Linked DNA regions of Solanum lycopersicum. The protein of the gene in region 2 interacts with the protein of the main gene of each other region in a pairwise test. Links are inferred from orthologs where the notes say so. Each region holds a gene or a part of one and is shown on either strand. Other genes may lie near its edges.

Region 1 (4,171 bases), on a different chromosome or scaffold from region 2:
CTTGTGGTGGATTTTACATTATTTTCTTGTAATTGCTATATTTTTTGTTTATATCTGATATAGTTGTACTTGTGTCGATATTTTTCGAAAATAATTTCTCTATCTTTACGAAATAGTGATAAAATTTTCATAAATTTTATTTTTTTCAAACATCGTTCATGAAATTATACTAATTATGCTATTATTATTATTATTATTATCATCATCTTTTAAATTTCTTTTTGTTTGGACAAAAATTGAAAAGAGTTTCTTCAAGGATATATTCTCTTATCTTAGACTATGTTTGGGCCTTGAGTCAATTGTGGACCGCAAATTGCTATTTAAGTGATATATAATTTTTTATAAGTTTAGTTATTTTAAAATTAACATATATTACTTAAATAAGCCTACTTTATATATATTAATATATAAATTTGAAGTTGACTTGACAGTCTCAAACTTTATTTGTTTAGTCTAAAGTTTAGTTTGACATTCTAAAACTTCATACTGTAATTTAAATTTTGATAATTTATTTTATTATGATAGCCTTCACTGTATTACACTTCCGTCCAAAAATAATCTAAATTAAATATAAATTTAGAATTAGAAAAAATTACGTACATTATTCACGTAACACTTAATGATCTGGAATTTTACTTAATATTGAATAAAATATACATACATTTATTTAAAATTTGCTAAATGTCATGATATTTATCTTCTTGTTTTATATCAAATTTATTGCTCATATTTTATAATCAAGGGTGTATTTATAAGGAGTCACTAAATTTAGGTCAATTTGTACTTTCCTCTTGAGTCATGTAAAATAATATTATAATTTCTTTAAAATACTTAATTCTAGATATATGGACCACATTCAAAATATTATACAATACGATCATGATTGGGTGCACCTCTCTCTAGATAGTGATATAAATTTCTAATATATAACAAGTTCAAATGATAAAATCAATCAAATTTATATATTATATTCATCTTTTCGTATAGTGCACTCATTTTTTTAAAATTCTAAATACGCGTCTGTTTATAATGAATGATTGCGAAGGTTGATTCAAAATTTCAAATTCCTGTGATCCATGAACTTAGTTCACTATCAAATAATTAAAATAAAGTTAAAACTATAGTTTAAAAAAAAGTTGATGAAACAAAATTACAACTTAAACAAATTGGTTCAAGTAAAATTAGGGAGGCTTAAACGTCAAAACATTAGCAACACATCTTACTGACCAAAAACCCCTGCCTTTCTCCAAAATTACTCAACAAGCCACTGGATCACGCATTCCGCATTCCTCAGTTAACCATAGTTAATTCCCATTTAACCGTGGTCACTTTTCTCCGACTATATAAACTCACTCTCACTGTACTCCCCGCCATCTTCTTCATTTGCTGAGCAAAAGCTTTCTGAAAAGCATTGTTCTCTTCAAATTTCTCCAAATCGCTTGAATCTCGTTTCTCTCTGTCAACAATGGTGAGCAACAGCTTTTTCCATCTCAACTCGCTCTTTGAATTCGTTGAATAACTTGTTATACTTCACCTATTGCTTAACTCTCGCGTTCATTCTCTGTTTTTTTTAGGTTGTGGCACAGAAATTGAAGGAATCGGAGATTACTGAGCAGGATTCACTCCTTCTGGTAAATGATCGATCTCATATTTGCTTTTTGATTACGTTACTAGAGCTGTGTTTTTTGCTCTGTTCAATTTAGCGTCGATCAGTTTTTTTACGTTTTTGACGAGTTTGTGAACGTTGATAGCACTTAGTTTGTGAACGTTGATAGCGCAAAGTGCTTGTATGAAACACGTTATGTTGAACTGTTTGAGAGTTGTGTAGTTTTTTCTCTTATCACTTTCTGATGTTTTAAATACTTCGATTTTTATGGTTATTGACAGCATGTGAGTCGAATCTGGAGGCTAATCAATGATTCTTTTATACTCAGTTGTGATTTAAGTTGTGTTGTGTGTGTATTTTGAGTTCATTCTTTAGAGTTTTCTGGCTCTTGTAACCTCTTCTATGTTGAGTTTTATTTCGTTCAACTGATGTATGAGGCAAATGTAAATGTATAATCTCTGGTTGTAGATGTTGACTTCCGATTGACTCATGTTGCTTGTTTCTCTAGATAGTTGATTTGTATTTTTGCTCTATATAGTTGAGTGAATCTGTTTTTATGTATTTTAAAAAACGAGATGCGTAGGATATGTTCTAGATCAATGAGCCTGATCTAAGAAGCTAATAAGTATAAGTTGTTTAAGTTCTTCTGTTTTCTCGATTTGCATAGTCTCCATGAATTGGGTGCTTCTGACGTTATCTTCTTTGAATGCTATCGTATCCCAGTTACTGAAATAACTCATGATGTTTAGTTACAATCAAATGAACAGCTAGATATTTTGTCTGTCACTTTGTAAACTTTCCAGTTTACTATCGCTGAAGTTGTTTGTCAGGAAATAGAAACTTGTTTATGCAGTTATTAAGTGTTACAAGCTAATTATCTGGATTCACTTTTTTCTCCATGGTTTTCAAAAACAGACAAGGAACCTTCTGCGTATTGCTATATTCAACATTAGTTACATCAGAGGCCTCTTTCCTGAGAAATATTTCAGTGATAAATCTGTTCCAGCCTTAGGTAACCTTTCTCATTTATTTTTTTGTTTTTTGTAATATCTTCTGTTTCAGTATTTCAAATTAATTTACTGGATACTTATATCACAAGCAGAGATGAAGATCAAGAAGCTAATGCCAATGGATGCAGAGTCACGTAGACTTATTGATTGGATGGAAAAAGGTATGTTGATTTTTTGCTAGTTTTCAAACTAAGCCTTACAGTTATATTCTTCCTTGTCATTTCTTACCGCCACTTTCCTTAACGCTACTTTCTTCTGTGTTCGTAGGTGTTTATGATGCATTACAGAAGAAATATCTGAAAACACTTCTGTTCTGTGTGTGCGAAGCAGTTGATGGACCAATGATTGAGGAATATGCATGTAAGAAGAGTTAAGATAAGTTGGTTCAGTGATGACTTCAAATTGATTTTAGTATCATAATTACACTGGCTAATCACATCTGAAACTGACTAGATTACTATCTAGACCATATCTGTGTTGCCTGAGACAAAGAAATTGCTAAAAGAAGAGCTGATACTTTCAGTAGTCTGGCTTGTGACAATAGCTTATACACTTAGTTTTCTACTTGCAGTCTCTTTCAGTTATTCAAGTTCCGACTCTGAAGAAGTGTCAATGAATGTCAATCGTATTGGGATGAAGAAAGGGGGAACATTCAAGTGTAACTCAAACACTGAAATAACACCCAATCAAATGAGGTAACTATTGGTCTAAGGATTTTTTACTTTATCAGTCTCATGCTGGTTGTTTTTTGGATTACATGAACCTTTTGAGTTGAGAGGGAAGTATATTTCAGGAGTTCTGCTTGTAAAATGGTTCGTACACTGATTCAGTTGATGAGAACTCTTGATAAGATGCCAGAAGAGGTAAAACTTTCTAATTTTCCTAAAAAGCATCGCTTCGTTGTTCATTAATGTTGACAATTGTCTCCTATCATCTGGTTGCTAAGGTTTGTTTCTCTTGGTTTTTTCTCAGCGAACTATACTGATGAAGCTTCTTTATCATGATGATATCACGGTATGCCCTTTTCTCAATTTTGCTTGTTCTGTTTTTCTTTTTATTTCCCTTTTCCTCTTTTAGCTTGCCTCTCAATGTTTGAGTTTCGGGGGAATGTTAAACTTCCATATATTGTAGCATGCAAATTATATATTGGCATCTGTAAGCACATTGCCTTTAAGAAGCTGCAATTGTAATCATCCCTTTTTGACATTCAGAAAATAAGGTTTCTCCTTAGAAGTCATCTCACTTCTGTAATTTTGTAGCTTACGTTAATTTTTGAGTTTGAGCCCCAAATTGATTCCTGTAGTTGTGCCGATAAATGGTTCTTGGGCTACTCATGCACTGAAAACACTGCTTAGTCATATCAAATGCATTTCATAGAATTTTCCAAGCTTTACTTGTTTCCACTTCACCTTTTTAATATCATTTTTCTTCAAAAATCACCCAGCTTGTCATATTTTAGTCAAATTAATCTTTTGTAACAGAATTGCTGGTTGTGCAGCCTGCTGATTATGAACCTCCTTTCTTTAGAGGCTGCACTGACGAGGAGGCTCTAAAT
Region 2 (4,255 bases):
TCACTATACATATATACAAAAGAAGCTGACTAATTCACTATATACATATGCAAAAGAATCAATTGTATAATCTGTTTCGGTATACGTACTGCAAAAGAATCAATTGTATAATTTGTATTTGTATAGCGAGATTTAGAGAAAGACAAAAGAAAACTTGGCAAAGGAATAACGTATTTGTATAAACATATGTGTATAGGACGAAAATCTATGCATTTGTACTTATATATACAAATCTCTTGCTTTATACAAATACAAACACGATGTATACATTTGTATTTATATAAAGTGAGAGAGACGAGTGAGAGTGGAGAGCGAGACTGGAAGAAGGTAGAGAGAGGAACGAAAATATATGTATATGTACAATTTTCTCTCGCTTTATACAAACATAAACACATTTTATACTTTTGTATTTGTATAAATGATAGAGAGTCGAGCGCGACTGCCAACAATAACGAGAATGGCGAGCAAGATTACAGCTGAAAAGAGGCAAAAATAGCAACAATTTACTATGGAATACAATAAAACCAAACTATGTTTTATAACATTCAATTTAAATTAATAATTTGCTAATATATACACTTTTTCAAAAAATAAACTCTTGAAAAAATATCATAAAACTTATGACGTATATAACACAACACATCATCATCTTCGTCAAGCACAGATGAATAAATTTATGGCAAGCTTGTCTTAGCATCTTTCATTTTCATCTTAAGTTTGTATACAATATCAATTCTTTAAACATTAAAAAGGAGTAACTAAATAAAAGAACTACACATAACATTTAGATGTACACAAGAAAACTACAAGTTTGAGAAAAATTATACAATTTGTATCGAATAAAACAAATAATTGAATATTTTCTTGAGAGATAAAAAATTTATACTTGATTAGAACACATGTCTACTAATGCTTATGATCATTATGATGATTACATCGCTTAATGATTCTAAATTTTACTAATTTTTATAACTTTTAATAGGTTTTGAGTTTAGATTTTGTGTTATTTTAAAAGAAACGAGTTTAAAACACACGCAAACCAAGTTTTTATCCAAAAAATATATTGTTAAATTCATTATTATTAAATGACAAAAAATTTCATTTTATATTATTGCATATCTAGTAATTTTAAATGTTTCTTTACATTACTATTTTATATCACTCTACACATAACCTATTATTTCTCTTTTGTGATGTATCATTCATATTGTCTGAATGTGTGATATTATGTTATGGTGAAAAATAATATCTATAATATAACATAATACAATACAATATCCAAGTGGTAAAATAATAGGGTACAAAGTTATGTATACACACACATTATGAATCAAAATATGAAATAACCCATCCAAACAAAGGTGTAAAACGCAGTTGTATATAAAAGAGTGAAAGCGACGTACACGCTCCATTGTTTCGTCTTTTCCCGCCTCTTTCTCAGTCTGATCACGCAAAATCACCCGTACGCACTCTACCCATTTCCTAAAATTTCAAAAAGGACCCCAAAATCCTTTGTAGTATCGACTCGAGTTCTTCTTCTCACAGCTCAGAAACGAACGGAGGCGCATGGTGAATCTCGTCTCTGCTCATTTGTAGTAAGTAATTCACAATATCTCCATGATCGACAATGCATGTAAAGTTAATCCTCATATATTCGTTCCCGCTGAAGTTTCTGTAAATTGTAGCTGTTGGAGATTCTAGATTCACCCGATGTTTGATCGTTCGCTGATAGATTTAGTTTTTCTTTTCTTAACGAAGCTTTGATTTGGCGTTTTGTTTATGAATGGGGAAGTACGTAGTACAGAAATTGTTCTCGAGTGATTTGGATTTTTGGATGGGTTTTGAATCTGAACGTTTTATATGTGGTTATGCTGTAGATACCGATAACTATTTAGTATTAGAAGTTCTCTGTTATTCTCTGTTCCACATGTGTGTGTTTGTGAAAGAGAGACCTAGAGTCTTAGTCTATGAAGCTTAATTCCATTCTATGTGAGTATGGCGTGTGTTTGTGAAGGCAATTAGCAGTACATGTAAAACTATAACGGTGGAATTTGATGGGTAAGCTTAATTAATCATTCTTTCTGCTTTCATTTTCAGAACTCAGGTAACACGCTTACTTTGGATCAGCTGAATTTGCAGCTATGGACGTCAACAGGAAGTCAAAATTACGAGATGTAAGTAGTCAGCTTGCAATTTGAATCTGGGTTAATTATTTACTTGAAGCAATTTGCAGATTTCGTATATGCATATTGTTCCGTCCCTGTTGTCTTTTGACTTTTCCGATTAGTTTAAATTTCTTAGTTTGTCAGCTCGATGTGGAGTTTAATTTTCAAAATTTCTTAGGACCAGAAAGGTCGACCCCTCGCTCTGTGTGGATCTGATGTCATGTTCGTATGCTTAGAAAGCTAGATGTTGAAACACTATTATTTTGTTCTTATCAGGACCTTGCCAGTGACACTTGGAGTTTTGGCAGCAATTACCACCAATCCAGTCAATCTAGAAAGATGTCCATTGGAATTGTAATAGATTCAGTTTCAAAATGCAGAACTCAGAAAGTACAGCAAGCTGAAGATCAGACTCACTTGGCAGCAGTGAAAACTTCTAGCAAAGAGATATGTGTTTACAATGGGACAACAATGCCTCAGAAAACTTCAAGCAAGGGGAATTTCACAAATGACAGAAACAAGAAGGAAATAGTGAGCACTCCTACTATCAGAAATCAAAGAGAGCCCACAGAGAAGCAGACATCTCCTTGGATATCCACTAAAGCCCTCCACCATGAACCAACCTCAGAGGCAGATACTCAAGTACAGAAAACTTCAACTGCACAGGGTGTAGTTGAGATGTGCAACACATCACACAGAGTAGAGGTAGGACCAGCAGAGTGTTCCTTAAGGTCTTTCTTAACCCAGACAAGGACTTTGCAGTTTGAAAAATCCAAGCAGGTAAAGGAGGATGCTTCTATAGAGAGAAGGGGGAAATATGCACCCAAAGTTGCTCTGAAAGACATGCCCGAGAAAGCAGAAAATACAGGCAATGCATCTTTAAGATTGAAGCTTCAGGAAATCTTAGGAACTGTTTCTTCCCCAACCAAGCAGTGTCCAAATTCTCTAGTTCCCGAGCAGGGTGCAAAAGCCTCGGAACCAGAGCAGAAAAACAGTGGAAATCATGTTGGTGAACCTAAGCAAAATTCAGATACTATAGAAAGTGATACCCAAAGTTATGGGTACGCTATTAGGAGACCAACTACTCGTTCTTTAGCTCGAAAAAGAGCCCCTGCTAAGTTGAAATCACAAAATAGAAAGGGACCACCAGCATGTAAAGAGGACCACTTAGAGAAAAATGTCTTCGTTCCTAAAGATCTGCTTTCTAGGACGTTACGTGATGCTAGCACTAGTAGTCCTTTGATGGTATATGGAAGGAGAGGAAAGAGGAAGAGTCACCACATGGAAGCACCTAAGGTTTGTGAGCAGAACAATCAAATGAAAGATGAAGACACAAACAATAAGTGTAGAAGAGTACCAGTTCCTGAGAAGTTTGTACATCCTGGTGATGGCTCTACTTTATTTCAGGAGAAAAATGACAAGTTGGTCCAACCAGATGCTGGTAACCTAGAATCCCCTGTAGTGGAAATGACTGAGCAGCTGAGAAATCTACAAGAACATATAGATCAGAAAGGAAACTCAGCAGAAAAATTCAAGAAGAAAGCATTGGACTCGGAGTCTGACAATCAAAGCCCAGTTTTTGCTTTGAAAACACCTGGCAGAAAATCTTTTCCAGGATTTGCACCAAGAAGCAATCTGGGGCAACTGCATGGTGATGATCATATAGATATAACATCAAAAACTGAGGGAATTTGTAAGGTCAAGAGCTTTGATGGATTTAGACGAGAATATAAGTCCAATACACCCGAAGAATCATCAGTATCCTTCTTATTGTGACTCAACAGTTGTAATCTAGTGGCTGATTGTCATAGGTTGTAGTAATGAATTGTTGATTTTCCTTATAATATGTTAAGGATGATGCAGGAAATTTGGAAAATTCTCCTTTTCTGGAATCAAGACATATAGAAGATACACAAATTAAGTTTTCCAAACCATCATCCATGGAAAGTGATCCCGAGGACTCGGAAGACAGTTCAAATATTCAAGGTTAAAATGATGCTTTGTGATTCATGTTCAATTATTTATTCATATTGATTCAGTTCCCTTAGTTTCTTTCAAATGTAATCATAAGTCTCCAGATGATCCATACT

What was found. The genes of interacting proteins can lie anywhere in the genome.
Region 1: the proteins of meiosis-specific protein ASY3 (region 2) and meiosis-specific protein ASY1 interact in a two-hybrid assay, tested with the Arabidopsis thaliana proteins (2 studies listed by BioGRID). The link is inferred for Solanum lycopersicum from reciprocal best matches to the Arabidopsis thaliana genes ASY3 and ASY1.

What each region holds. Positions count from the first base shown.
Region 1 is NC_090803.1:1,638,656-1,642,826, reverse strand, and holds the start of meiosis-specific protein ASY1, read left to right. Parts: upstream 1-1,371; 5' UTR 1,372-1,465; coding exon 1,466-1,468; intron 1,469-1,574; coding exon 1,575-1,631; intron 1,632-2,521; coding exon 2,522-2,618; intron 2,619-2,708; coding exon 2,709-2,777; intron 2,778-2,883; coding exon 2,884-2,985; intron 2,986-3,187; coding exon 3,188-3,311; intron 3,312-3,409; coding exon 3,410-3,479; intron 3,480-3,588; coding exon 3,589-3,630; intron 3,631-4,114; coding exon 4,115-4,171. UniProt on the Arabidopsis thaliana protein: Required for normal meiosis in male and female gametophytes. Plays a crucial role in coordinating the activity of DMC1, a key member of the homologous recombination machinery.
Region 2 is NC_090800.1:74,289,840-74,294,094, reverse strand, and holds the start of meiosis-specific protein ASY3, read left to right. Parts: upstream 1-1,455; 5' UTR 1,456-1,595; intron 1,596-2,097; 5' UTR 2,098-2,141; coding exon 2,142-2,174; intron 2,175-2,441; coding exon 2,442-3,923; intron 3,924-4,018; coding exon 4,019-4,151; intron 4,152-4,255. UniProt on the Arabidopsis thaliana protein: Required for normal meiosis in male and female gametophytes. Acts with ASY1 at the interface between the developing chromosome axes and the recombination machinery to ensure interhomolog recombination.